Linked DNA regions of Callithrix jacchus. The protein of the gene in region 4 interacts with the protein of the main gene of each other region in a pairwise test. Links are inferred from orthologs where the notes say so. Each region holds a gene or a part of one and is shown on either strand. Other genes may lie near its edges.

What was found.
Region 1: the proteins of UBQLN1 (region 4) and NME3 interact in binary tests that used the Homo sapiens proteins (3 or more experiments, as listed by UniProt). The two-hybrid records come from large-scale screens. The link is inferred for Callithrix jacchus from reciprocal best matches to the Homo sapiens genes UBQLN1 and NME3.
Region 2: the proteins of UBQLN1 (region 4) and RIC8A interact in binary tests that used the Homo sapiens proteins (3 or more experiments, as listed by UniProt). The link is inferred for Callithrix jacchus from reciprocal best matches to the Homo sapiens genes UBQLN1 and RIC8A.
Region 3: the proteins of UBQLN1 (region 4) and TRIM32 interact in binary tests that used the Homo sapiens proteins (3 or more experiments, as listed by UniProt). The two-hybrid records come from large-scale screens. The link is inferred for Callithrix jacchus from reciprocal best matches to the Homo sapiens genes UBQLN1 and TRIM32.
Region 5: the proteins of UBQLN1 (region 4) and SCG2 interact in binary tests that used the Homo sapiens proteins (3 or more experiments, as listed by UniProt). The two-hybrid records come from large-scale screens. The link is inferred for Callithrix jacchus from reciprocal best matches to the Homo sapiens genes UBQLN1 and SCG2.
Region 6: the proteins of UBQLN1 (region 4) and retrotransposon Gag-like protein 8A interact in binary tests that used the Homo sapiens proteins (3 or more experiments, as listed by UniProt). The two-hybrid records come from large-scale screens. The link is inferred for Callithrix jacchus from reciprocal best matches to the Homo sapiens genes UBQLN1 and RTL8A.
Region 7: the proteins of UBQLN1 (region 4) and ZG16 interact in binary tests that used the Homo sapiens proteins (3 or more experiments, as listed by UniProt). The link is inferred for Callithrix jacchus from reciprocal best matches to the Homo sapiens genes UBQLN1 and ZG16.

Annotation. Positions count from the first base shown.
Region 1 is NC_133513.1:4,028,228-4,032,104, forward strand, and holds NME3 (nucleoside diphosphate kinase 3), read right to left. Parts: upstream 2,141-3,877; 5' UTR 2,117-2,140; coding exon 2,071-2,116; intron 1,988-2,070; coding exon 1,857-1,987; intron 1,750-1,856; coding exon 1,648-1,749; intron 1,571-1,647; coding exon 1,458-1,570; intron 1,359-1,457; coding exon 1,241-1,358; 3' UTR 974-1,240; downstream 1-973. Other genes in the region: MRPS34 (small ribosomal subunit protein mS34), read right to left, coding at 2,785-3,077, 3,167-3,209, 3,388-3,708; structure-specific endonuclease subunit EME2, read left to right, coding at 3,849-3,877. UniProt on the Homo sapiens protein: Catalyzes the phosphorylation of ribonucleosides and deoxyribonucleoside diphosphates, other than ATP, into the corresponding triphosphates with ATP as the major phosphate donor.
Region 2 is NC_133511.1:131,720,959-131,723,964, reverse strand, and holds part of RIC8A (chaperone Ric-8A), read left to right. Parts: intron 1-359; coding exon 360-451; intron 452-1,022; coding exon 1,023-1,173; intron 1,174-2,184; coding exon 2,185-2,280; intron 2,281-2,383; coding exon 2,384-2,528; intron 2,529-2,598; coding exon 2,599-2,743; intron 2,744-3,006.
Region 3 is NC_133502.1:165,022,914-165,027,720, forward strand, and holds the start of TRIM32 (E3 ubiquitin-protein ligase TRIM32), read left to right. Parts: upstream 1-1,765; 5' UTR 1,766-2,117; intron 2,118-4,807. UniProt on the Homo sapiens protein: E3 ubiquitin ligase that plays a role in various biological processes including neural stem cell differentiation, innate immunity, inflammatory resonse and autophagy.
Region 4 is NC_133502.1:99,347,043-99,351,309, forward strand, and holds part of UBQLN1 (ubiquilin-1), read left to right. Parts: intron 1-285; coding exon 286-428; intron 429-3,153; coding exon 3,154-3,237; intron 3,238-4,267. UniProt on the Homo sapiens protein: Plays an important role in the regulation of different protein degradation mechanisms and pathways including ubiquitin-proteasome system (UPS), autophagy and endoplasmic reticulum-associated protein degradation (ERAD) pathway.
Region 5 is NC_133507.1:145,325,511-145,329,110, forward strand, and holds the end of SCG2 (secretogranin-2), read right to left. Parts: intron 3,058-3,600; 5' UTR 3,044-3,057; coding exon 1,181-3,043; 3' UTR 763-1,180; downstream 1-762. UniProt on the Homo sapiens protein: Neuroendocrine protein of the granin family that regulates the biogenesis of secretory granules.
Region 6 is NC_133524.1:130,627,272-130,631,064, forward strand, and holds retrotransposon Gag-like protein 8A, read right to left. Parts: upstream 2,014-3,793; 5' UTR 1,977-2,013; coding exon 1,635-1,976; 3' UTR 815-1,634; downstream 1-814.
Region 7 is NC_133513.1:29,729,376-29,734,276, forward strand, and holds ZG16 (zymogen granule membrane protein 16), read right to left. Parts: upstream 3,317-4,901; 5' UTR 3,266-3,316; exon of another isoform or gene 3,135-3,265; intron 2,325-3,134; 5' UTR 2,318-2,324; coding exon 2,257-2,317; intron 2,074-2,256; coding exon 1,941-2,073; intron 1,512-1,940; coding exon 1,196-1,511; 3' UTR 1,103-1,195; downstream 1-1,102. UniProt on the Homo sapiens protein: May play a role in protein trafficking. May act as a linker molecule between the submembranous matrix on the luminal side of zymogen granule membrane (ZGM) and aggregated secretory proteins during granule formation in the TGN.

The DNA.
Region 1 (3,877 bases), on a different chromosome or scaffold from region 4:
CTGTACCCCAGCTGGCCTTCTTTGGGGCCTCCCTGTCCTCAAACCCCTATCCTCTGTCTGTCCCTATCCTGGCTGTCCCCTGCCCAGGGAGTTGGCATCAAAGCACGAGGCCCAGCTCCCCAGGGCAGCTGCTTGAGAAGAGACTGCTACCCCATCCCGTCCATGCAGGCAGGGTCTCACCAGCCCTGCTCTGACCTGTGTCCCCTCAGGCTCTGCCTGGGCAGAAGACTGCTTGGAGGAGTGGGCCCTGGAGTCCTGTGCCTCCTAGAAGCCCCTGGGGTGACATTTCTCAGGCTGCCAGGGCAGGCCCAGGCCTCAGGAAGAAGGGGAGGCCCCTGGCCTCCCCGGGGTCAGTCCTGGGACGCAGGCTCAGCCTCAGGTTGGTGGGGGATGGTGTGCTCCTGGGGCCTGCCTCCTGCATGGGGCTCTACAGAGCCCAGCTCCCAGACACGCTACTAAGTGCCTAGGGTTGCCCGCTGTGGCCGGTTCCCCAGGAGCAACAGAGAGGCCACCAAGTGGAGGCCCATGGAGCTGAGGATGGAGCCGCCTCCAGCAGACTCCAAGCGCACAGGGAGCAGTCACCACCCTGGACTGCACTCCCTGCCCAGCCGGGCCTCGCTGGCCCACTCCCACCTTCCAGGCCCACTGCACTCCTGTCCGGGAGGCCCCAACGAGGGCAGCCCAGTCCCTCCCCATCCCCAACCAGAGAAGCACAGATCTTGGGGAGCTGCCCCATGAGCCCTGCCGGCCACCGTGGGCTGCAGCCGCTGTGCTGCTGGCTTCTCCCCACGACCCTGCCACCTCCACTGTGATGTACGTCCGGTCCCTCGTCTGTTCCCCCAGGATCTGGAAGTGACTCCCGGCTGACGGATGGGGCGGCTGGGGGAGGGGGTGACGATTCTCCTCAGGCTTTGGTCCTGCAAGCAAACCCACATATCTGCTCTGTATGTAATAAACGTCTTAACGCCGTAGCTGCCTGTTCCGGGACCAAACCCACACGAGAACTAGGACTTTATTATAAAAAGAAATGTTGGACCACTTTGGGCTGGGCGCCAGGACAGGGTCCTGGCACGTTTCCAGGTGAGCCCTGTACGCCAGGGATTGGGGGGTCCCATGCCACCCTCCATGCACCGTCCTGACAAATGTTCAACATCCCATCAGAAGGGACGTTCAAAGTGCTGCAGGGCGGGTCCGAAAGCCTGGCCACCTGGGCCCTGGAGGAGGCTGGTGCCCCACCGGGCTACTCATACAGCCAGTGCCCGGCACTGTCCTCCCAGCACAGGAGCTCCTCTGCGCGGAACCAGAGCGCGATCTCGCGGCGGGCACTCTCCACCGAGTCGCTGCCGTGAATGAGGTTCCTGAGAGGAAGAGGCGCGCGTGAGCGCAGGAAGGAGAGCTCGGGCACGGGTCCCACGCAGGCCAGACAGGGCTGGGACCGTCCCCGGGTCCGGCCTTACTTGCCAACCTCGATGCAGAAATCCCCGCGGATGGTGCCGGGCTGGGCGTCGGCCGGGTTCGTGGCCCCGATGAGCGCCCGCGAGGCGCGCACCACGTCCAGCCCCTGCCACACCTGTGCGGGAGGGTCGGGGGCGGTGTCACGCGGAGGCGGAGGTCCCGGGGCCGCCCGCCCGCTTCCCAGGTACTCACCATGGCCACCACCGGCCCGGAGGCCATGTACTTAACCAGGCGGCCGTAGAACGGGCGCTCGCGCAGCTCGGCGTAGTGTTCGCGCAGAAGCTCCTCGGAGGCCTGCGAAAGGGTCAGGCCGCCTGCGCCCGCGCCTGGGACCCAGGCGTCCCCAGGTCCCCGCCCCGCGCCCGCTCACCCCGTCCCTCCACCGCGCCCCGCGCCCCGACCTGCACCAGCTTCAGCGCCACCAGCTTAAAGCCCTTCCTCTCGAAGCGCCGCACGATCTCGCCCACCAGCCGCCGCTGCACGCCGTCCGGCTTCACGGCCAGGAAGGTGCGCTCGTGTGCGCCGGTGCAGGCTGCGGGGCGGGCGGGGACCGGGCGTCAGGCCAGCCCCGCACTGCCCGCCCGACCCCGGCACGCGCCGCGCCGCGCCGCTCACCCGCGGGGAAGAGGTTGGCGAAGATGGTCAGCACCAAGCAGATCATGATGGCGGCGCCCGAGCGAGCTCTGCGGGGCGGGGCGGCGGCGCCTGGGGCGGGGCCTGCGCTTAAAGGGGCCTGGACCCGGCACGGCGGCCTCCGCGGACCGCTTTGCTTGCACCCCGGAACCCAGCAGCCGTAGGGGGCCGGAGAGCAGCTGCGGAGGCCAAGTCTCCTCCAGTGGCTCGGACTCTTAACTGTACCCGCCCCAAGCCGCCCAGGTGGTTCCACCCACGCGACGCCCTGCTCCCGCACCGCCCGCGCCCCCAGACCAGGGCCGTGACCACGGCGTCAGCCTCTCCCCGGTCCTGCAGAGAGCGCGCAAATAAAACGCAACCCTGGCCCGTGTTTATCTTCTATTTCCCTTTATTTATCGTTTGTTTCCTTTCGTTTCTTTCTTACTCCCTAGTTTCTGCCTGGATCCCACCAGAAAGAGCTCCAATGGGGGAAGGGGCCAGCACCTCCGGCTTTCCCCCGCGTGCCCTCCGAGCTGGCTGTGGGGGCGGCAGGGCCGGAGGAAAAGACAGCTGGCGATCTGCCCAGCCCTGTCCACTACGAGGCAGCCCGTCAGAACACGTCACGGGGCGGACTCAGGTGCAACGCAAGGATGGCTTCTTTCACCAGCAAGGTCCCCGCGGCCTCAGCCCCTCAGGCCACCCGCCGGCTCTGGCGTTCTAGACCCGGGTGCCCTTGGCCCTTCCTTTGGTCTCCTGTTTTGCAGGGTAGTCCCAGGGTTCCACGCGTATCCCCTGCACATTCAGCATGGGCTCCTCGGCGCTCGTGTCTCCATTTTTCTGTCGTTGTGCGAGAATCATGGCCCGGAGGAGCGGGGGGTACGGCACGGCGGGCAGGCTGTCCTCGGGCGCCGGCGTGAACGCGGTGAAGGCCTCCTCCTCGTGCTTGGGCACCAGCCGCCAGTCGTGGTACATGACGTGTTCGATCTCCCGCGCCTCGCTCTCCGTCTTACCTGGCGAAGGAAAGAGGCGTCCTGCACTCACGTGCTGTGTCCTCGGCGGCCGGCAATGACCGCCGGGCACCTGCTCTCCCGAGCCTTACCTTTGAAGGTCAGGATGCCCCAGGCCTTCCCGTGGTCCAGGTTCTGCAAAGCCAGGGGAAAGTGGGTCGTCAGCTCGCAAGGCTCGCGGCCTCCGAGTCAGCAGGGGGAGCCTCAACCCCACAAACCTGCAGAAACGGGGGAGGCGGGGCCGCCCCGCGAGCCCGCCCGGGAGGGGAGACCCGGCGGCTGCAGGAGGGGGGCTGCCGACGTGTGCACGCACCTGCGCGGTGTGGTCGGGCCGCACCCGCGTAAGGCGCCAGTAGCACGGCTCGTCGTGCTGCCACAGCCAGGACTTGCGCGTGACCAGGCGGCCCAGGCCGAAGAGCGGGAGGCGGTTGAGCAGCTGCAGGAGGCGGCTCTCGCGGCGCACGTCGACCCAGGCCCGGACCGGCAGCCGCCGTCCGGAGAACGGCCGCGTCAGGGACTCGTAGTCCAGGGCGTAGAGCTGCGAGTCGCGCGGCCGGTTCTGCTGCTCCCGCAGGGCGCGCACGCGGCGTGCCAGCTCCGCGATCAGCCGCGGACGCACCTTCTTCCGCGCCATGGTGGGTCCAACTCCTCGGCGCTCCGGCCGGAAGCCGCTGCCACCGCGCGCCCCCAGGCCCGCCCACCACCGGAAGAGGCTGGTGTCTCAGGCTAAAGTGTTCGGGCGCGACCGGAAGCGAAGGAGAAGCTGTCCTGGCCATGGCGCGGGTTGGACCCGGGAGGGCGGG
Region 2 (3,006 bases), on a different chromosome or scaffold from region 4:
TGATCCACCCGTCTCGGCCTCCCAAAGTGCTGGGATTACAGGCACGCACCACCATGCCCAGCTAATGTTTTTTGTGTTTTTAGTAGAGACAGGGTTTCACCATGTTGACCGGGATGGTCTCGATCTCTTGACCCCGTGATCCACCCGCCTCGGCGGAGGTGCTTTTAAGAAGACAGAGGTGGTCATCTTTTGCCCCCAGCACTACCAAAGTCACTTAGGAGACCCCAGGGGGTCAGGCATGGAGTATGGGAGCTGCACAGTCAGTGCCACATATTCTTGGAGTGCAAGACAGTAGAGCCTCAGCAGGCAGCAGTGGGATGAGTGGGGCTCCTCACAGGAACCCTTCTTTCTTTGGTCAGGAAGATGCTGCCCTTTACCAGCACCTGGGGGTCCTTCTCCGGCACTGTGTGATGATTACTACTGCTGGAGACCGCACAGAGGAGTTCCACGGGTGAGGACATGGCTTTTTCTATGGCCACATTGTCTAGCTAGTGGTCCTCAACCCTGTGGACCAGAACCGCCTGAGAGCCCAGGCCCCACCCTGGGGGGGGTCTGACTTTGTCTGAGTGAATGGTACTGGACATCAGTGTTTCCGGAGAATACTGAGTGCTTCCAATAGGTGGCCAGGACAGGAGCCATGAATCTGGGGACAGGAATGTGCCAACTGGACCTTGGGTAGTGGCAACAGATACATGCTGTTTACTGGGCATTTTGGTCCCTTGTCCCCCTTCTTGGGCCACCTGCCCCTAGGCTGATCTGGGTTTCCAGAGATGGTGGCACTTTAGCCCAGACAGGGTGGGGCAGTTAGGGTGTCTGAGTGCCCCCACCTCCCCAGGGGACCCCACTGTACAGCTGAGTGGCAGTGCCTCTACGATCGGTCTCTGCCTTTGTTTTTGGTCCCTAGTGTTGCTCCTTTAGGTCCTCAGACGCCAGCTCGTGTAATGTGTGGTTCAGTGGGGGCACAAAGATTGCACCTGTGCCAAGGGATTAGCTCTATTGAGACCCCCGTCTCCTGTCCCCAGCCATGCAGTGAACCTCTTGGGGAACTTGCCCCTCAAGTGTCTGGATGTTCTCCTCACCCTGGAGCCACACGAAGACTCCGTGGAGTTCATGGGAGTGAATATGGATGTGATTCGTGCCCTCCTCATCTTCCTAGAGAAGCGTTTGCACCAGGTAGGCTGGGGATGGCTGTGCAGGCTCCCCCAGTGTCTCTGGCGCTGGCTGTCCTGCACAGCTGTGGTCAGTGCTTCCACACTGGTAAGTGGAGATCATCTTGGTGATGTGATATGGGCAGTTCTTTTGGCTGTTCTGAGGTTCAGCCTGGCAAGAAGCCAGACCCTTCCTCCATGAGAAGCATGTGGACACCCTCCACACACTTAAAGGTTTCACTTCTGCTTAAATATTTGTGGATTTTTATTGAGTGGTCCTGAGAAGCTCCCCCAGTCCCTGCTTTTAACTCTTAGACACAGGCAGCCCTTGATTATAAGCATGGCTGTCCCTCAGCACCCTGAAGAGACCCACAGGAACCTCTGATCAAAGGTTCCCTCTGATTCCTGTGACTGCACTGTGGGGCATCTGGACAGCTGGGCTCTAACCATTCTCCAGGCTCTTGCAGAAAGCAGGTTCAGTAGACGTCTTGGGAATCTACCTGCCTAAGCAGAGGACACACATGGTGCATGTGAGCCAGTCAGGATAGGGACCTGGCATTGGGCACACAGCTGGGGTCAGCTGTCCCCGTCGCTGCCACTGCTGATACTAGGGTCCAGGCACATTATGCTAGGAGGGACAGGAACTCCCTGCTTTCTGTCCATGAAGTACACCGAGCAGGGATTCAGTTCTCGTTTCTTTTTGCCACCGTCATCTGAGGTCAATGTGTGTGCCAAAGCTTGAATTGCTTTGTGTTTTCTTCCCATCCCTGGCTTATAATTGAAGCAGTTATTTGAGCCAAGTCACAAAACTTCTGAGTTGGGCTCTATCCCCGCCCCTTTCAAAACTGACACAGATACCTAGCACCCACTCTTGGCCCTCCACTGACTAACTGCAGAGGGGTCTCTTCCCAAACCCCTGCCGCTAGGACCAGCTGGTGTGTCTTGGGGGCGGGGGCAGGGGGTTTTGGGGATGTAACTCTGCGCCAGTCTCAAATTAGGTAGGGCCATAAGCCTGATGACAGAGGCTTCTCTACAGACACACAGGCTGAAAGAGAGCGTAGCTCCTGTGCTAAACGTGCTGACTGAGTGTGCCCGGATGCACCGCCCAGCCAGGAAGTTCCTGAAGGCCCAGGTATGAGGCTCAGAAGCTGGCGCTCCTGGGAGATGTGGGTTGGGCCCTGATCACAGACTCTTGGCTGCTCCAAGCCGAAGCTGAGGGACGGCCGCCTCCCCAGGTGCTGCCCCCTCTGCGGGATGTGAGGACACGGCCCGAGGTTGGGGAGATGCTTCGGAACAAGCTTGTCCGCCTCATGACGCACCTGGACACAGACGTGAAGAGGGTGGCTGCCGAGTTCTTGTTTGTCCTGTGCTCTGAGAGTGGTGAGTTATGGAGGCCCAGGTCCCACCCCACCTAAGCCAGGCTTGCACTGACCTCTGCCTTGCTCCTCAGTGCCCCGATTTATCAAGTACACGGGCTATGGGAATGCTGCTGGCCTTCTGGCTGCCAGGGGCCTCATGGCGGGAGGCCGGCCCGAGGGCCAGTACTCAGAAGATGAGGACACAGACACAGATGAGTACAAGGAAGCAAAGGCCAGGTATGTGCCCCAACACACCCTTGGGGTTCCCACTCAGAGCCACACCCATATGGACCCATGTAGGGTAGGTGGGACAGGATGACACATGGGCAGGACCTTCCAGAATCAGGCTCCTGTTCCTAAGTGCTATCTGGGATACCAGAAGGTGGCAGGTGGCAGGAGCTGGTTAACTGCTGCTCCTGGAGGGAGGCCTCTTCCTGCAGTTGCCTTGCCCTGCCCCCTCTCACCCCATGGGAAAATGTGTCTTGCCTCCTGTCCTGGAG
Region 3 (4,807 bases), about 66 Mb from region 4:
TAAAGCACTCCACAAAGATTATTTTAAAAATACCTCTGTGTAAGAAGAATGCTAATATTGTGCCACGATATGTCAAGGTATAAAATAAAAATGAGTGCATTTCCTAGAGTGTTTATTTTACTTTAACAGTTTGTGGGCAGTATAATAATTCATTTAACTGGTAAGTAATTTAAACATTAAAAAAAATTCAAACACTGATTTTTTTTTTTAAGAGAGAGGAGTTTTTTTTTGTTTTTTTGTTTGTTTTTTTCAAAACACTTGCTTGAGATAGATCCCCAGGAATATTTTTAACACTTTTCTGTCATTAGGGAAACATCGATATGTCTGTATTGAGATATATATATATATACACACACACATACATATACATATAACATGTATATGTGTAAGACTACGAACAGTCCGAAATTTATACATTGGGCTGATAACTGTGGTTTTCAGGAAAAAAGAATGCAAAGTCTCCCTAACTCGTATAAGAAGGGAGTATAAGTGAGAAAGCATTTGGCACCGCCTCTCCCTTATCCCCTACTTGCTAATTACAATTTTTCAAATACAGTTACCAACTGCAAACTACCATAATCTTGGTTTATCTTCATAGCAAACTTCATTTAGAAATTTAGAAAATGGGGAGAGAGAGTAAACAAGGTTAAGAGAGTGGGTTCCCAGATAGAATCGGGTACAAATCAGGGCTCCAACAGGCACAGGTTTGCTGTGTAACCGCCTAGGTTACACAACAGGTGTAGGTTAACCACCAGCTGCCTTATCTTATGAAGTCCTTAGGAGGATTTAGTGAGCCACGCACCTGAAGTCCTTAGCTATAGCCAGACAGCAAGTATCCAAAGGTGTTAGTTATTGTTTTTGTTCATGGTTTTATCATTGTGCAAGGGTCGCATAGCTAAGTGGAATTTCAAATCCAAGGCCATCCTACTTCAAACTCCTTTGTGCTCCTAAGCTATGCAGTATAGTCACCTTGGAGAGCATGCGATTGTCCCCAAACTACCTCAGGGACTGCAGGTTATGGCCAGCCAGTCCTCTATCAGACCTCGTCCTTGCCAGATGCCTAGTGCCCCAGATTCCCTCAAATCTCAGGCCAGACAACTTCCCACCCGGTAAGACTCCCCCACCTTCACCCCTGACTCTCCAAAACTAGACTTGGTGTGGGTTCCCGGGAAGCTCTGTCTGCAGGGACAGTATTCCCCACGTCTGCGTCTGCTGTCGACTTCCCAGCTGAGTAGGCAAAACATTCATTCCTTTACAGAGCAATGTGTTCATGGATAAACTTGTCTCTAGCGCAGCTCTGTGTCAGAGCACAGAACATGGAGCCCAAGCACTGCCCTTCCCAGGGAGTCCCGGTTCTCGACTTCCCCAGGATGGAAGTTTGATTCTACCGTTGGCCCATTTCTTTGATAGAAAAACTGAGACTCAGCGAGGTGCCAAGGCTTTGATTAGGACTACCCTGGAAGCCACGGCTTTGTAAGGGGTAGACATTGGGACTGGAGTCAGAAACGCGTTCTGGCTTATCTCCTGACTTACTGAATGAACTTGAGCAGGTCCCTTTCGCCCGTGGGCCTCGGTTTCTTCATCTGCACAACGAGACGGAAAACTGGATTACGTGTAGCTAAGGCCCCCGGGTTCTCAGAGGAATGCTCACCCCTGCAGGGCCGACCGGCCCCGCGGCACTACAAGACCCAGCTTGCCTCGGGGGGCGGGGCTCAATGACTGACAGGGAGCTCTGCGAGTTGCCGCCCGGCAAGGGGCGCTCAGCGGCGCGTGCGCAGAAGGCGGCAGGCGGGTGGGCTGGCGGCGGTGGACTCGTTGGAGCCGCGGGCGGTCAGGTAGGGGGCGGGAAGGAGGGTTGGGGACCAGGGACCGCGGCCGGAGTCGTGGGCGGTGGCACAGTAGCGGGGCGGAGGGCCGTGCCGGCGAGCAGCGGCCGCGCCCGAATGGCAGAGTCTGTGGACCGGATCTGAGGGGCAGGACTGGGGTGGGGGTGGGGCTGCTAGGGGCAGGCTCGGGAGAGATTCATGGGGCTGAGGAGATCCGAGGAGATGCAGCTGGGGGAGGGGAGCGAGGTGCTCTGAAGAGATTTGCGTTTGAAGCATTTCGGGAGGTATGAGGTAATGTGGGGGCCGAGAGGAGAAATGGGGTGCAGCATGTGGGAGATGGGAGGGAATCAGGGCCCTGGAGGGACCTGGGTGCAGAATTTCAGAAATATGAAGGAACTGGGGACCCCCGATGAGATTTAAGGGAATCTGGGGGCGCTAGGCATCTGGCAAGGACAGGGTCTGAGATGATAGGAGCAAGGTCTAGGTCGATCCTCAGTGCTAGTGAGAGAGGGTTTTCGGAGTGGGATGAGCGTGAGATTGAGGGGATGGGGATGAGTTCTTGAGGGACTCTGTCTTGTTAGCAGAAAGAAGGGACCTGGCTGAACTGTGAAGCCAGCATGTGACATTCAGTGCGTAAGAGGAAGGAACAGGGTTTGAGAGCGGCACAGTGCCTGATGGAATGCAGGAGATGGGGGGCTCAGAATGAGGGAGAGCAGAAATCAAGTGTGGAATTGGGCCGTTGAACTGAGGTGCAGGGCTGAGTGCAGCAGAGATTTGGAAACAGGGATTAAAGGATCTATGTCCGAGGGATTTGGGGCATAGGAGTGAGGAATTGATGAGGGTTGCAGTATACAGCGCCAGAGATTGGAATTTGGTATTGTAAGAGGGTTGGGGACAGGGTTTGGAGAGGATTGAATCATAGGGTAGAGATGTCCTAACTGGGCTATAGAATCAAAAAACCCTGAGTCGGTTTGTGGACTGGTGTCTTGGACTGCTGAAGAGATTTTCCTTAAATCGCTGCATGGGAGACAGATGGAGTTCAGGGGACCCAAGGACCTAAAAGTAATGTATGATATAGATGAGTATATGAAGATGAGCAGAGTTCAGGTGTTGAGGAACGAAGTGATACATCTTCAGTTCAGAGATCCTGAAGGAGTGTGGTGATCCTTGTGAAGGGCAGAATCTTCTTCATTTATTAAACAAATATCCATTATCATGAGGCAGGTATGGTATTGCCACTAACTCCCCTCTGACACCCCCAGGCCACTGAAAATGGTGGGCTTTGGGGAAGAAGAAATGGAACTATTCAAGGTCATCTACCTAAGCCCCTTTTCCTTGTACCCACAAGCTGCGATAGCAGATAGAATGTGAGACCTCCAGGGGAATAAGTGGAATAATTAATCCTATCTAAGATCCATTACAGCTTGAAGGGGCGGTGCCTCTGTGAATGAGGTGTTTGGGCTCTGAGAGAGACAAAAATAAAAGGGAACCCTTATGTATTGAGCATTTAGTCCTGTGCCAGACTATAAAGAAGTGGTTCTTAACCAGGGGTGGTTTTGTCACCTTGGAGACATTAGGCAATGTCTGGAGATGTTTTTTGGTTGTCACAGTTAGGGTGGGGAATACTACTGGCTTCAAGTGGGTAGATGAAACATGTTAATGTTTTATGTTAATGTTAAACATTTGATAATGCATGGGATAAGCCCCTGCTCCCCAGTAAGGAATTATCCTGCCTAAAATGTCAGTACTGCCAAAGTTGAGGCACTCTGCCCTAGAGTCAGATATCCTGGGTTCAAGCCCTAGCTCTGTCTCTTCCTGACTTTGTGGCCTTGAATGAGTTACTTAACCACCCAGTGCCTTGACTCTTCACCTGTAAAATGGGGTTATGATAACGACCTATGTCACAGAATTGTGAGGATTTAGTGAAATAAATTAGCATGCCTAGGATCTGGCACATAGTATGTTCTCAAAATCTAGTAACTTTTAGTCTTATATCTACTTCTTTATTCAGTTTTCGTATCTTTCTAAGTAGGCTCTGCTGTTTTCAGTTTTACACGAGGGAACTAAGGCTTAGGAAGTGACTTGCCTAAGTTTCCATAGCTAGGAATGACACATAAGCTCATACCCAAATCTCTGTAGCTCTGTATATTCCCTTTTTCCTTGCTACTTCCTTTCTAAGGCCTGCTTAGTCTTATTTTCTCAGCCCATTCCCCTCTAATGAAAAAGAGGATTGCCCAGTGACTATCAAAGACGGGGTGGCGGGGTGGGGGGGTGGGGGGGCGGAGAAGGTAAATCTCTCTGATTAGGTAGGGAGGAGCCCTGGACTTTGTTCTTGGTTTGCTCTTAGACCAAGACCAGGGGCTAGATAAGGAGACGAGTTTGAGGTTACCAGGCAGAATGAGGTGCAACAGACTATGGGGTGAGGTATGGAGGCCGTTGGCTTGAGAAAACACCTCATAGCAGGGACTGAGGCTTAAGGCATTCATATTCTGAAGGAGAGTAATCACTGTTCTGTGTGATCTCTTTTGGGCTGCTTTTCCCTGGAACAAAATAATAGCATTGGCTCTATCATCTCCAGGACTAGCTACAGCGTTGCTGAAGCCAGTTCAGAAACAAAGCTAGACTGCATCTGACTGCTAAGGTTTAGCTGGAACATCCGCGCACATCCCTAAAAGAAAATATGTCATGGGAATTCAGTCAGCCCTGTCTAAACTCCTTACTCTGTTGCTAATTTCTTATGCTACTTGGACAAGTACTTGTCCTGTCACCCTCAATCTATTAAAAATGCACATGATGATCATTTATTGAGTGCTTATTATGTGTGTTATCTTAGTGAATTCAATCATCCTGCTAACATTCTGGGTTTTATTCCTTGTTTACAGATGAGAACGTACCCAGGGCTACAGAGCAAGTGGCTAGGGTTGGGATGCAAACCCAGTTCTGTCTTATTCCTATGTTACATTATAGTAGTTTTCTTAGAA
Region 4 (4,267 bases):
TCAGCAGTAATTTTGACCATATCTGATTTTTGCCTTAAATTGACTTTAGAAGCTAGTCCTTCATGAGACAAGATTTTACCGTAAATGCAACCAGAATGTTTAAACTCGTGTCTTCTTTTACTGGTATATGTTGGGCATGTCCTTTTAAAGATCTTTTAGTTTTAAAGTTCTTTCATAGTTAGTTGATACATAATATATATAATCATTTGTACTTGGTAAAATTAAACACAGTGCATATTGTATTTTAAAGCTTTAACTTTTGTTTTTTTTAAAACAAACTTTCAGCTAGTATGTTCAACACTCCAGGAATGCAGAGCTTGTTGCAACAAATAACTGAAAACCCACAACTTATGCAAAACATGTTGTCTGCCCCCTACATGAGAAGCATGATGCAGTCACTAAGCCAGAATCCTGACCTTGCTGCACAGGTGAGTTTGTATTTGCATTGAAAAGGACTGTGCAATGTGAACCTAATCTAGTAATTGTGATTTTGGCACATTTGTGTTGTGTATGATATCTTAATGTACTAGAAAAGTAAGTAAACTGTGTCTCCAATTTTTTTAGACCATGTGTTTCTTTGTAGTAATTAAATACTTCATATATAATTAAAACAACTTTATCTCTGTCATTCATTGACTAGAAAGAGGTATAGGTTTACTTTGTTTCTACATATGTTGAGTTAGGAGACAAGTACAAAGTGCTGTAATGCCCTCTCTTTTGAAGATACACTATTTAATGAAATGTTAATCTTGAAAGCAAGTAATAGCAGTGTTAATACATTTGAAATAGTTTTATTTAGTAGATCACTAAGATTATAATAGTCATGCTCAAAATGGCAGTTGTAAAATAGCAGGAAGTCTTTATTAAAGATGGGAATTTGTCAAAACAATGTTCTCATTCTTTCAACTATTGATTCCCCTGCTGAAGATAGTATGCTTATCCCTTATTAATGTATTCCTTTTTCTAATTTGTTTCTAAAGAGACTAAAACTAAGAAAATTAGGGGATCTCAAAGTTTGCTGAACTTTCAGGAACACTTGGGAAGCTTTACAGACAGTTCTGATGCTTTGGCCCCATCCTTAGAGATTTTGATATAATTGCATCTGAAAACCCCTTCCCCCTCAAGTTCCCTAGGTACTGTCTAGGTTCCATACCATAGGGCTTAAGAAACCACGGAGAATGAAATAAACCTTGATCATCTGTAGTTTATATTTGCTGTTTATTAGAAACAACTGCTGTAGTGTGTCAGGAATTTGAAACACTTTATAGTTAATCCCATTCCTTAAATTTTAAAAGTTTTAAGTCAAATGAATGGTTTTTATTTTCTAAATTCTAGAAGTATATTGATTCAAGTATCTTCGATGTATAATTCTCAGCCCTCACCAAATTTGTGGAATTGGAAATAATACATTTTAAGAAGAATTTTTGTGTCTTTGATTTTGTTTATTGGAGGTACATTTTATGGAAAATTGATTTATTCATATGAAACTTATCAGACTGAGTTGTTAATGGCTTAGTTTACTGTAATAGCCATTTTAAGTGTGTATTTGGCTAATACTGAATGTGCATCGTACTTTTAAAATTTGACTTTAACAAGCACATGCCTAGCAATTTTTAATAATATTATAGTAGTAAAGTGACTTGAGCACTCACATACTGTTTTTTTTACTCTAAAGCAAAATGCTGCTAATACTAGATTGGCATGTCTTATTACACATAATTTAGAAAACTATTACAACGTTCTTATTATCAACAGATTAAAATGTGTGGTTTTTCTATTTTGAGTTTTAAATATTTACAAAGAGTCTGGAGTGTAAACTTGTGGTATAAGCACTCAGGTAAGTTATAAGAAATACCCTAATGAATGAGATGATCATCTGCGAATGAATACATTTAAGATGACATGCTTTTTTAAGATTAAATAAAGTAACTCCCAAAAGATATGTGTGATAACCTTGTTAATATGTTTGTAATAAAGAAGTATTTAACTGGAACCACTACAGAAGCGGGTTTCTTGACCTTAAGCAGGTATTACTTTCTGTGAACTTATTGGTCATTTTGAAATAAATATGTATGTTCCTGCAAGGTCATCTGACTTCTCCTTTGGTTATTATATTAAAATTAACTAAAAGATCCACTTTGCAAGAATTGGGGCAAATTTTCTCTACCAGCATTTACATTGGTCTTAAATACGGTTAACTACTTGAGGGTGAGGATCATTTCCTCCCCAGACTTTGGATAGGTAAATAGGCTATCAGTAAATCCTTGCTAGTTGACTTTTTACTCTGGGGAAAATGATATAAAGTGTGTCTTTTGACGCTATGAGAATTTATTAGTTTCTGGTTATGCTGATTGTGTATTTTAATCTTATTTTCAGGTATATGACATCATACTAATACTGATTCTGATTTTTAAATTCTAAACATTTATTTGAAGGTTAGGAGATGCCACTTTTCTCATCTCTGGTGGTAGTGAGGTGAAATCCAGATGCTAATCTTGGTGTTCTCAAATGGATTTACATCTTTTAGGTCTTAAATTATTTTAATACTTTCCCCAGAGGACTGTTGGTGCTAGGCCTGGCTGATTTTCACCTAGCAGCTCCATTTCTCTGGCAAGTTGGTTGCTGTTTTGTGGTGTTATTTTTTTGGACCTAATATTAGCAGTTTTGTAGTAGGCAGGTAGATGTAGTGGTCCTTTTCAGATCTGGATTTTCTCGTGCTTGCCACTTGTGTGTTGAGGTTTCTAAGCAAGCCATGTTACATAGTTTCATGTATTGATGTTTATGTTTATTCTGTCAGTGTAGTAGAAAATATATCTTCATGAATGCCAGTTACTCTCATTTTTCTTTCAATGGCAAGTATTGACCTTTGTTCAAGGAAAAGCCTAAGAAAATGATTGCTTTTATTTTTTAGGATATTGCATGTCATTACCATAACCACCATTCTCATTGAGAGAGAAGATGCATCGCTTTTGTTTTTGTTGTTCTGGAGATCCCTCTTGTGGACAGTATCTTCCCTTTTCCTTTTTTATTTATGTTCTACCTTCCTCCCTTTTAAGTGCCAGTTTAGGCACTTGGGGGAAGGTAGAATAAAACAAGGTACATTACTTGTTTCAGATATTTCCAGTAAAAATTGTTTGAACACTTGCCCCATAGATGATGCTGAATAATCCCCTATTTGCTGGAAATCCTCAGCTTCAAGAACAAATGAGACAACAGCTCCCAACTTTCCTCCAACAAGTGAGTAAGACAAGATGTTAGCTATCTTGGGTAATGATTTGCTTGAAAAAATTTGATGATGAACATTTTCCTTGTTCTTCTCTGGCTGATAGCAAAACATGGAATAGAGACTGATAATGCTGTCAATTCGTAGAGAATTCAGCCCTATCTTAACAGAGTCCCATTTCACTGCTGACTTTTTGCTTATGTTTCTCAAACATAAATTCTGAGGAAAGAACCATTTCGTTTTTGCTTTTGAGGACCTAGGATTTTGAATGCTTTGTTAATACCATAAACCATTTCCTTTCACTGTACTAACTTTGAAGTGCTTCCTTGTGTCATGTTACGCTTTATGGTTTAACTAATTTTGAGTAACAGGAAAGAGCTACCCTATTCTATTTTACAGGTTGTTTTCTTCCAAATTAATAGAATGCTTTTTTTCCCCAAGGGGTAGATCTCATTTCCTCAAACTCGGGATTAGTGATTAAAATGGTCAGTGTTGTCATATAAGGAAGGTTATGTTATAAACAAGTACTTGAGATTGGCCATGGTATTTTATTATTTAAAACGATAAAAGAGAAGTCAGTCTTGGTGTTTTGAAACTGGTAGTTCTGGGGCTTTATATATTTTGTAGTGACTCTCAGGCTTGTAAACCATTTTCCAAGGTTAGTTGGTATCCTTGATCTATTGTAATGATGTAAGCCTATCTTTGGTTAGTCAGGTGGTGTATATTTGGAAGTAGTAAAGCTAAATTCAGGATACATGTATTGTCAAATTTGGAACTGTTGTTTTAGAGTGTACCTTACTGGTAAAATTGTTAAATTAGTAACAGGTAACACTTGGTTAGGTGGAATATGTGGCTTTCACCATATTACCATGTTGTAAGAATTGTGTATTTGGAGGTTGTCTTTTAGAAATAATACTTTATCTTCTATTGGAGAAGGGGAATAGTTGTGGCTTCCAGAGTAGCTTTTGATTGTCTTCCATTATGAAAATGGCTTTCATGATGGACTTAGGAGGAGGTCAAGTAAAGATTTTCATACTAGGTTTG
Region 5 (3,600 bases), on a different chromosome or scaffold from region 4:
TAAAAGCTATTGTTTATTTCTTTGTTTATGACCATTATTGTTTCGTTGCTGTATACATTTTCTCACTGGTGTTGTGTGGATTCCTTGTTGATGTGTCAGTTGGCTGACACTGCACTAAAGTGATGTGTGCTGTAATAATCATGCACTGCCTTGCCACTAGGGCAGGAGATGGGGCTGGTCTGTTCCCACTGTGACTGTGCTCCTTCGCTTACCTACTGGTCAGTTTGGGGGTCCTTTGGCCCCTCTCAAGTCACATAAGAGAGACAACAGCCTTGTATTCTGGGAACCAACATGACCTGGGAATAGACAGTTTGCTTTCAAGTCTGTAGTCATTTTTGATTGCCATATATGCAGCCTTTTCTTTTTCTTTCTGTTTTTGTTTTGATGCTGGTTATGGATATTGGAGACTTACATTTCTTTTACTTATATAAATCAAGAGTAAAAAATATACCTACTACATCAAGATTATGCCCTATATTACTCTATAGATTATCTATATGAGGAAAACCATGGCCGAGCATAACTAGTGGGCTGTGAGAGGATGCGGCATTCTGCAAACAGATCTCTGAGCACATGTATGAAATCTTATTACTTCTTACCGGAATGATCTGGTGAAGATGATTTTCTCCTTTGGCTTCATACTGCTTGCTCCAGAGTCATTGTCTCTGGTTTTCCGGAATTAAGAGTCCAAATTTGTCCAGAAATAACATTTATTAATCAACAGTAAAACACGGAATAGAAAAGGCCTTATAAATAAAACTATATATTTATAATGCTTTATTTTTCTTTGCTCCAGTACTCCACAAAACACTACAGACAGTAACAAAATAATTCAATAAATATTAAAAACTTTCAATAGAACTATCGGACACTCTTCATCATGTGTGAGCATCAACAATGCCAAAGCCATTAGATACACTATTAAACACAGTCATAGATATCTTTCTTGGATAATGAACATAATAAATTTTTTATCAAGGAGTCACAACATTTACACATATCCATACACGAGAACAGCTCAGAGGAAACAAAGCAGACTCCCCAGTGACCTGGATTCATCTGCCTGCACATCATTTAAAGATATTACAGTGCTAACAAGATAGAAGTCAACACACTAAAGAGAAATGTTAGGGTTTGCTTGGGACGGGAGGAGTGGAAGTAGGGTAATTAATGAAAGCGCTTACATATTTTCCATTGCTCTCTTAGTAATATGCTCCCTTCCCTTTTCTGCCTTTTCTTGGTTAAGGTATTCCAGCACTTTCATTAATAGATCTTCATCCAAGTACTGCCTATTTGGGGTATCATCATTCTTCGGGGGCCCCACTGGGAACCTTTTGCTCACCGGGGACAGCTTGTCAGTCTCCTGAGAGCTGCCTTGATTCAAATGCTCTTTGATGGCCTGCTCAATTTGTTCCTCTTCCTGTAGGTCATCTTCAGATGAGCCTTGACTAGGAACTCGCTTCACTTGGTTTGAATTAATGATCTCAGGGTATTTAACTAGCATCCTAGCCAAGTACTCACCTAATTCTTGATCCTTGTCATTCAGGTTTTCATATGCCATCTGTCTGTTTTCAACATACGGCATCAAGGCAGCTTTGGGAAACTGGTTCGATCTAGCTCTTCCAGGACCATAGGGGAGCCTTGGCAGAACTTTCTCTCCATTATATGGATTGGGAAAATATGAAGGTTTCTGATTTGCTGCACTCTCCATCCCTAAAAGATTTAAAATATCCTCAACACTGAGCCCATCTGGTAGGGCCTCAGTCCCAGCATTACCAGGCATTTTAGGGTAGCCACTCTTGGAGAGCATCTTATTTTGGTACACGTCTGGATGGTCTAAGTCAGCCTCTGAGATGTCATCTAGGTCAACAGGAAGGTCAAGCTCCCGCTCCGGTTCCACAGATCCATTGGGCTTCTCTCCAGTTTTAAGCATCTCAATTAAGTCTTCTGGGGGTATCTGTAAATTCCTTGAGATTTCAATCAGCTGATAAATAGACTGAGAATCAAGAGGTTTCTCAAAAAGCCTGGTGGCCTTTCCCCCATTTTGCCCATTCTGTAACCTCCCCCCACTTCCTGCAGCATTTACTAACCTTTTCAAATAGGCAATTACTTTGGACACGTCATCTGAGAGTTGGTCTTTACTTTCCTTCCTGAGATCTTCTTCCTGGAGGCCAAGCTGCCCTGAGCGTTTCATCTCATCGTTGATTTGTTCATTTTTTCCTACATTCTCTTTGCTGTCTCTCACCTCTTCCTGGGTTTGACTCTCTATTTTCTCCTCTGCTGGGTTCCAATCTTCTCCCCCAACCACATCTTCATAGGCAATGTTATTAGCCTTGTAGATATCATCTTCATCATCCGTATAAAGTTTTTGCTCCTCATCAATCTTCTCAAGTTTCTGGTTGTTTGGTCCTGTCAGTTTCCCCAGCTCTTGGAAGACAGATTCCAATGTAGCGAGACTTTGAGGAGTATATTGTTCCTCCACGATTTCATTTGTGCGTTTAAAGGGGTTATCCCTGGAATTCTCTTCATACATAGGAGGGAATAGCATGTGCTTGAGCTTTCTTTCTGGCCACTGCTGTGTCTCATAATCATCAGTCATGTCCACTGGAAAGTTCTTTTCTGAATTCAAGACATACGGCTTATTTTCTTTTGGTGCAGACTGGGGCTCATTTTCAGCCTGTCTCAAAGCTTCAAGTATTATTCTCATCCAGTCATCTTCACTCAGTGAATCCCTCGAACTTTCAGGCAAGTGACTTTCATCACCATTTTCCTTTTGCTGAAGGGGGACAGCAATACCTTGGTAGGGATTATAGTCTGGGCTGCTTTCTTCCTTGTGAGCCTGTTGCCGGAGCTTTTCTATGTACTCTAAAGCCCTGATCATTTCAGGACTGGGAAACTTTTGGACATTTTCCAACCTGAGGTCTGGTTCTTTCTGAAGCAGCTGGTTTCTCTGAAATGAAGCTGCTTCAGCCCCACAGATGAGGAAAATTAAAGGGGTAAGAGACAGGGCTGCTCCAAGCCAGTGGGTCTTTGCTTCAGCCATGTTTGAAAGGGTTCCTGAAAACAAAGAAAATATGAGTTAACACAAATAAAACATAATAGAAGACACTATAGCAAAAGAAATATTTGGTCATTGAGGGGAGGAAAAAAACAACGTAGATATTATTTCACATTAAACTTAGGATAACTCTTTTTAAAAAATCATGAATATTTTCTATATGATCTCCACAAACCACAGGAATCTTTAGCAAAATTATTACTCATTTACCTCAAACTTGCATAGCATTCTCTTAGTTAAAAGAACAACAAAAACACTGATATGAGATTTCTCAAATTTTATTTTTTCATCTACAGAACATGTAGTTTGATGTTAGTACACCTTGTTTCTTTGTAATGAAGTAACAAATACGTCCCAAGATGTTTTAGCTATTTTATATATTGAAGTCATTGGCAAAATAATTTGTTGGCTTAATTTAAAACATCCATGTACACATACACACCCACAAATCATGTCCTTAATGTTGTTTCAAAAAAATGTGGATTATTCCCTGAAATGTTCTTCTAATTTTGTTGTTAAAACACAGCAGTGGTTACATGAGC
Region 6 (3,793 bases), on a different chromosome or scaffold from region 4:
CAGTAAGGAGATGTCTCGGCCATTTTGGCTGGCTAAACAGTGGGCGCTTTCACAGCGTCCTCCAGCAGCCCTTATGCGGGCATGACAGAGAGCTCAAAGCATCTTGCCTTAGTGTCATTCATTTCAAAATGTCACCCCAGGTTCACACTTCTGAGAGGTATTAGTAAAAGAATGAAGATCACCTATGAATAACTAAGATCACATATGAATAACTAATAACTACTACAGTTATGTTTTTAGTTACTTTCTTCTTCATTATTTGTGTGGAAATAGGCTGAGGCCTTTTGCTCCAGCCTCAGCACTTATGGGATCTCCCCCCTAAACATCCCTTTCCCCATTACCTCCATATTCAAGGTTTTATAAATATAAATGCTTTAATAGAAGTACCTCTGCAATTCTCATGTTTCATTAATGAATCTCTGGTTAAATAAAACCTTGACAGGTGTTCATGAACAAATGTGTGGGATTTATGGTTTGTAACAATCTGAGATTTGTGCTTCCTAGCCATTTTTTGAAAATAAGGAAACCTTTTACAAAAAAATTTTTCCACATTGTCTTGGCCAAAATCAGATCAAGGTCTACTTCAAAAGGGGCATGAAACTGCCTGGTTTAGAAGGGTCACCATTTGGCATTAGATGGCTGCCAGTAAGATCTCCATCCCTACAAGACACCACAGGACTCAATCTTTTGTTTTTATAATGCAAGAGTCAACCTCAGCCATAGCATGACAGGGCACATAGCATTGGAACAAGATATGGACCCCATTTACAGAACTAGGGAGGAAAAGGTGCCATATTCATTGAGACTCCATCTCTTTTTTAATAATGTCTGACATTTATTAAAAATAAGGAAAAGACCCTTGTACAGGTAGTGTATTAGAGCAGGGCAGGGAGCAGGGGTTACTGTGTTGAAAAAAAGGCACCCATCAGAGAGACAGCTGCAAACTCAGAAGGAAACTGGATTCTAGGTGAACTAACTGGTCCACAGGAGAAAATGAGAGATTTGATTTGGTTGCCAGGCACACCTGAGCCCTGGCAGCCATGTGGCAGGAACACAAGACGTCTCTGGGGATGGGGAGGAAATGGGTCTCACTGAAGGTGACAGGCCCCTTGCGGGTCAGCCGGCTGTCTGGATCATTGTCCAGGGGCTGTGGCCAGTTCAGATACCTCTGAGGTGAGTCCAGGTCACTAGGAACAACAGTCCGTCGGTGGGATGTGGTGGACGGCGATGGTCTGTGGGCAGAATGCTGCAGTCGTCTGGCAGTCTGGAGGAGTGGAGTGGGGTTGGCAGCGGCGGCTGTGGGTGGTCTGTCCAGTGTGTAACAGGAGCCCAGCTTTGTGCAACTGGAGCGCAGGACAGCGTCCAAATATGCATGGGAGGGGCTGGGCTGGCAAGAGAGGGCGGCGGCGGCTCGCTCCAGAGTGAGACCCAGGGGCAGAAGCGGCAGCCTGGAGCACTATTCCTGGAACAGAGGCAAGCACTACACAGGACGGAACTGGAGCGCAGGGGACAAAACGGCGGCGAGAAGGAGAGGGAGGCGAGGAGGGAGGGTGCGTTTGGTGACCCTGGCGGCGGCCATTGGCACAGCGGACCCTCCCCAGAGCTCCCGGCCCCAGGCCCGAGGGGCTCCAGGCCTAGAAGTCCTCGTCCTCCTCCCATCCAAAGACCCGCTTCATCTCGGCCAGAAAGCCCCGGTAATCATTGAGGAGGGGGCTCTGCTTCTTGATGTAGGGGATCACCCACTGCAGGGCGGGCCCCGTGAGGCGGGTGATGAGGAACGTCACCTTCAGGGCGTCGTTGGAGAACGTGTTCTCGTCCACGAACATGTAGGAGCCCGTCTGCACGATGAACTCCGGGAGCCGGTCGGTATCGCCGTCAAACGTCTCGGGAAAGGGAATCGGGTTCCTCCAGCGACGCGCCGCGGGCAGGAGGGGCCAGGCCAGGAGGGCCTTCATCAGCTGCACCCGACCGTCCATGGCGCCGCACTCGCTGCGTGGGGCTCAGCGCAGAGTCTTCGCCGGAAGTGCATGTTCGGAGAGGCGGGCCCGGGCGGGGGTTTGCTGCGGGCTGAGCCATGGGGGAGGGCCCAAGCGCCAGCGCGAGCTCCGCCCGCAAAGCCTAGTTGTCGCCCGTGCTCAGGAGAGTCACCAGGCACACGGGAGCAAAGGGACCACGCGAGGTGGGGCAATGGCAGTTGAGGAGGCGGGGTCGGATCAAATAGTCGGGGCCGATATTTCCCACGCTGTGCAGGGAAGAGAGGCGGGGAGCAGGGGAGGGGCCCAGGGCTGCTGGTACGCTTGCGGGGGCGGAGCCCGCTGCCAATGGGGATCAGAGAGTTCACGTTCTTGGATGTGGATGAGGCACCCCACCTTGCTCCTCACTCAGTAGCTGTAGCGTATTCCTTCACAGACCCTGGGCTCGGGATGCCGCTTGGGTGAGGTTCTTTTAAAAACTATTTTAATGTGGCTGGGCGCGGTGGCTCACGCCTGTAATCTCAGCACTTTGGGAGGTCTTAGGTGGGCGGATCACGAGGTCAGGAGTTCGAGACCAGCCTGACCAACATGGTGAAACCACGTCTCTACTAAAAATACAAAAAATTAGCCAGGCGTCGTGGCCCGTGTTTGTAATCCCAGCTACTCAGGAGGCTGAGGCAGGAGAATCGCTTGTACCCTGGAGGTGGAGGTTGCAGAGAGTCGAGATCCTGCCACTGCACTCCAGCCTGGGTGACAGAGTGAGACTCCATCCCCCTAAAAAATATTTTCATGTTTAGTTTTTGTGGGTACATGGTAGGTGTATATATTGATGGGGTATATGAGATATTTTGCAATGAGTGAGGAGGCTCTGTGCATGAACGTTTTCCTGCTTCTTCATGCATCTCTCAGTAGAGAAGTATTGCATGTGGGTTACAGATGTGGTTTCCTTGCAACATTAATGGGAAATTCCCAAACATTAGAAAATATAATCCAAAGCAGCATATTCAATTAATTTAAGGAAGGTTAAACGTTAGGAAACATCCTAATTTACTGTATGTATTGTTTTTGTTTGTGATTCACATAGTTGTTTGATTCATTTGCTTACAGGGCTTATGCAGGCAAACCTCAAATCCGGGGCCCATCCATGGAGGGTTCTTGGCTTCGCTCAAGACAGAATTCAAGAGTGAGCAGACAGTGAGAAAAATAAAAGTTTATTAGAGCCACTGTGTGCAGCAGAATGGCTGCTCCATAGGCAGAGAGGAGCTATTCCATAGGCAGACTGGCCCAGAGTAGCACTTGTGGAATGCTGACTAGCTTTATTTGTGCCCACTCTTAATTGTATGCTAAATAAGGGGTGGATTATTCATGAACTTTTTGAAAAGATGCAGAGAATTCCCAGAACCATATAAGGTAACTTCTGAGTCATTGCCATGGCGTCATTTACAAACTGTCATGGCACTGCCGGGAGTGTCTTATGCAAATACACTATAATTCCTAGTCATATCTAGTTTTGGCCCATTTCTTTGCTGTATCCCGTTTTGATCAGCAGGGTCCTGAAAACAAGCCCTGCTCATCTCATACCTCAGAACAGTTCTGCCACAAAAGATTAAAGCACAAGATATCTATTATTCCTTCAATATCTACATTTTTCCAAGTTTTATACTGTACTACATCCTCAGTATGTCAACAGTTCTCACATATTTTGTCAAATGGGTAAAACTCTTCTAAATACGCAGATGTCTATACAGTAGTACTAGATGGGAAGGAGACATTGAGGGAAGAGGAAAAAGACAAACATGTTCATATACTAGAAACATAGT
Region 7 (4,901 bases), on a different chromosome or scaffold from region 4:
GATACTGATAACATTCTTTTAAAAAAATTTAATTTTTTGAGATGCAGTCTCACTCTGTCATCCAGGCTGGAGTGCAGTGGTGCTATCTCAACTCATCTCTGCCTCCAGCGTTCAAGCAATTCTTGTACCTCAGCCTTGAAAATAGCTGGGATTACAGGTGCCTGCCACCACACCTGGCTAATTTTTGTATTTTTAGTAGAGGCGGGGTTTTGGGAGGATGTTCTCCAACTCCTGCCTCGGTCTCCCAAAATGCTGGGATTACAGGTGTGAGCCACTGCGCCTGGCCAGATGCTGATAACTTTAACAAAACTAACGTATACCTTCACTCATTTTATTTTTCTTCCCTTCTTAAAATTTCTTGCCCCAACTACATAAATCATCCTCATCCATCTTTTTTAAGACCTTATTAGTGATCTCTTTCCAGAATCTTCAGCCTCTTCCTCTTTGTTCCTCTTTATCATGTGAACATGCTCATGACTCTCCTGTCTGGGATTTTAAAAAGACACAAAACCCTTTTGCCTTACATCGCCCCCCATAACTGACTTGCCTATTTTCTGGCAGCCCAGACCAAACTTCTTGCTGCCTATGTTTTCTCAACTCCCATTTATTCCTTAACGAGTTCAGCCTGGTGGGCACAGACTTCAGCTGTTTCAGGAGTTAAGTGGGTTTTGGGAAAGAACAAAGGGGAATGGTCCCAGCCACCCACACACAGCATGTGAGTTTAGCACTTTCTCAAGGGGAGGACCAGGGGTGAAGAGAGCTGGAGGGTGGGACATCTGGGGTTTAAAAGCCACAACTAGGCCTTCCTCTAGGTCAAGAGTTAGAGACCAGCCTGACCAACATGGAGAAAACCCAGGAGATCCAGGACTCCTGTTTGGATTAACATTCTGAAGAGCTGTCCTTGAAGAGCATTGATGCAAGCCAGAATCCCATCTCCTCTTGATAAATCATAGCACAAAGCCCAGGATTCTTACACACCTCTCCCTCATCTTCCCACTCTTCCCAGACTGATGTCCAAAGCCAGCCAGAAGTGAGATTCGCACGTCCCCCGGCTGAGTCAGGAGGCAGATCCTAGCTACAGATGCCCACACACACACCAACCTTAGCCGTATTTTTTATTGAGCCATTTGGATGGGGGTGAGTGATAAGTGAGTTCTTACTCCTTACCACAGTGCCCCTGCCAAGGGGAGGGGGGTCAGCAGCTGCTGCAGGTACTGGGGTAGACATCCCAGTGCAGGCCAATGGCATCGATGACGGCACCAGACCGGCCACTGATGAATCGGAGCACCGTGTTGGGATGCAGGGGGACGGCATTGAAACTTGTGCCAGTGTCTTTCCCAAAAGGCAGATAGCGGCCCTTGTCTGTCACAAAGACCAGCTTCCTCAGGTAGCGCTTATACTTCCCAGAAACCTGGATCACGGATTCCCCAGGGTGCAGAAAGATCTCCTCCAGGTCTCCTGAGGAGCCACCCACATAGTTGCTCCACACCTTCCCATAACGCACCTGGAGACTGGGGGAGAAGGGAGGAGGGAAGGAGAATGGTGATGGCAGGGATGACAGATCTGCTCGTCCTACAGACTGTGAAGCCTGAGTGAGCCCTGTAAGATCCTACAGGTAACTTCAACTCATTTTGCCAACTAAGAGACCCTGTCACCCAGGCTGGAATGCAGTGATTCAACCTTGGCTCACTGCAGCCTCAGCATCCTGATTGCTCAGGCAATCCTCCCGCCTCTCCCTCCTGAGTAGTTGAGGCTGCAGGTGCTTGCCACCATGCCTGGCTAAGTTTCGTTTTTGTTTTTCTTTGGTAGAGATGCGGTCTTGCTATCTTGCCCAGGCTGAGCTGGAACTCCTGGCCTCAAGTGATCTGCCTCTGCCTCCCAAAGCATTGTAATGACAGGTGTGAGCCACTGCACCCAGCCGGGATCTCAAAGAATCTTACCCTATGATGTAGTATTTGCTGACTCGGACCCGAAAGGCGGTGATGGGGCCGTCCAGCTGGTTGCCAGAATGAGAGAATCTCTCTCCACCACCCCCTCCATACTCTCCGCTATAGGAGGAAGACCTGGCCTGAACTGGAGGGGCAAGCAGGAGTTAGAGGGAGAAATCTTCCAGGAGTTCAGTTTCTCTGCACCACCCCTGTTCCTCCCACATCCCAGCTCCCCACCCCAAGCCAGCCTCCAAAAGCTTTGGCCAACAGCAGTGCCCAAGGCTGCCTTCCCATGTCCCCATTACCAGGCTCCTGGTATCTCACTTACTGGCACTGGCAGAGGCTGAGGCACAGAGAAGAGCTAGGAGAGCAACGGTCAACATCAACATTCTGGGGCTGCAGTGGAAAGAAAAGAGCAAACGAAGATTCACCTTTTTCTTTGTGGACTTCATTGACCCAGGCACTCCTGACCTGCAGCTCAGGCCAAGGCTTCGTCCTTCAACTCAGACCTAGCAGACTCAGTCTTGAGCTTAGAAATGTCTGTCCATCGCCTGCAGTCCTTTTGCTTCCTGATTCTACATTCTGTGTCCCTGACCCCTCCAGCTCTTCCTGGTCTGGCTACAGCCAAGCCCTCCTCTTTTCTCTCGCCTGCAGATGAATCCTAACTATCTGGAGTAAACCTTACTCCCTCCTGGCACAAAGCAGAAATATTTTCTGAAATCAGCCAAGCTCAGGCACATTTGGGTTGGTATGGCCACAGCCAGGAAAGGAGTTTTCTAAGGAGAGAGTGGAGGATGCCTCCCAAGCACAGAGATGGTTGAGTTTACGGAGCCCGGAGTCTGAGCAAAGCCTCACCATCTGTGGTGGATTGGCCTGGCTTATGAAGCACCTGGAGCATGGTTTAAATCCCTAGCATCCACCTGTTGCAAGGAAAGTAGCATTTTAGGGGTGCCTCTATGTCACCTGGGGAGCAAAGTTGGTGACAGAAGGGACTGTGCCAGCACCAGTATCCAAGCAGCGCTGGTGGAACTAGGACAGACAGAGAAATTGCAGCAGGAGTCGGGACCAGCTCAGAATATTAGACCCCAGGTGCCTGGTCTGTGTGTCACCATTCTTTTCTCCGCTAACACACATCTAGCCATTTCCATCCCCCTGAACATCCCAGGCATCCCCAGTCCTTCAGCAGAGACCTAGACAGCTTTGCACCTAAGATTAGTGCAGATCCAGGAGCCCAATTAACTCAAGTCTTCCCTGCCACTCCGTCCAGGCATCCTCTCCTCCAGCTCAGATTTGAATTCCCCCCCAACTCAGATTCAGGCATCTCTGTCACCCCTTACCTGGCAGTTTCAGATGCAAAACACCCTGGAAACTTCCAGATGTTTTATACCAGGTCCAAGCCCTCCCCCTGCCCTTTATCGTGTGAACCTCACCTCCTGAGCAAACATGAGCAACCTCTTCGGATCAGGTGTCAGGCAGGGTCCGGAACACCTTATCCTGCCTCTCCTCCATAGTCAATAGATACTACATCGTAGGGTAAGATTCTTTTGAAATCCTGGCTGGGCATGGTGGCCCACATCTGTCATTACAATGCTTTGGGAGGCAAAGGCAGATTGCTTGAGCCAGGAGTTCTAGCTCAGCCTGGGCAAGATATCGAGATCTCATCTCTATCAAAACAAAAAACAAAAACAAAAATTAGCTGGGCACAGTGGCGAGCACCTGTAGCCTCAACTACTCAGGAGGGAGAGGCAGAAGGATTGCCTGAGCCTGAGATGTTGAGGCTGCAGGGAGCCAAGATTGCACCACTGCACTCCAGCCTGGGTGACAGGTAGCAGGGTGGAGTCCACTCTGGGCGAAGTGCCATATATCAGGAGGAGCATAGTAAACTTGAGGTTGCCAATCGAAGGGCCAGCAGCTCTGGATGGGCAAAGTAGCTTATCACTTCTGTGCTTGATAGGTGCTCTCACCTGAAATCTGCCATCTGTCAGGACAAACAGAGCCCTTCTCAGGCATTCAAAATGTGGATTCTCCAAGAAAGGAATATACTCCCCAAACCTTATCCTTAGGAGTGCCGACTATTCGCCAGACACTTTTTTCTTTGCCTTTTCTAATATTATGAAAATTCCAAACACATATAAGTTTAAAAAATTGTATAGTGGCCAGGCACGGTGACTTACACCTGTAATCCATTTTGGGAGACTGAGGTGGGTGGATCACCTAAGGTCAGGAGTTCTAGACCATCCTGGCCAACATGGTGAAACTCTGTCTCTACTAAAAATACCTAAAAAATTAGCCAGGCATGGTGGCTAATGTGCCTGTAATCCCAGCTACTCAGGAGGCTGAGGCAGGAGAATCACTTGAACCTGGGGGGCGGAGGTTGCAGTGAGCTTAGATCATGCTACTGCACTCCAGCCTGGTCAACAGAGCTAGACTCAATCTCCAAAACAAAAAATGAATTGTATAGTGAGGCTGGGTGCGGTGGCTCATGCCTGTAATCTCAGCACTTTGAGAGGTTGAAGCAGGAGGGTTGCTTAAGTTTAGGAGTTCAAGACCAACCTGAGCAACAGAGGGAGATCTCATCTCTACAATTAGCCAGGCATGGTGGTGCACACCTGTGATCCCCGCTACTCAGGAGGCTGAGGCAGGAGGCTCACTTTAGCACAGGAGGTTGAAGTTGCAGTGAGCCATGATGGAAAGATCGTGTCTCAAAAAAAGAAAAAAAAAAAGAATTGTAGGGCTATGTCCTCCGGATTCCCCTTCCACAACAGTGTGGGAGCTCTAAAAACAAAGTAATAAAAAAAGAATTGTATAGTGAGTACTCATATAACCATAGATTCTACCATGGTTAATATCTTGCTGTCATTGCTTTATTTTCCATCCACCCATCTATCCTCAGTATGGCAAACCCTTCCCAAATCATTTCTCTCTGAGGATGCTTGGGCTGCAGGTGCACAGTGAACATGTACTGATCCCCCT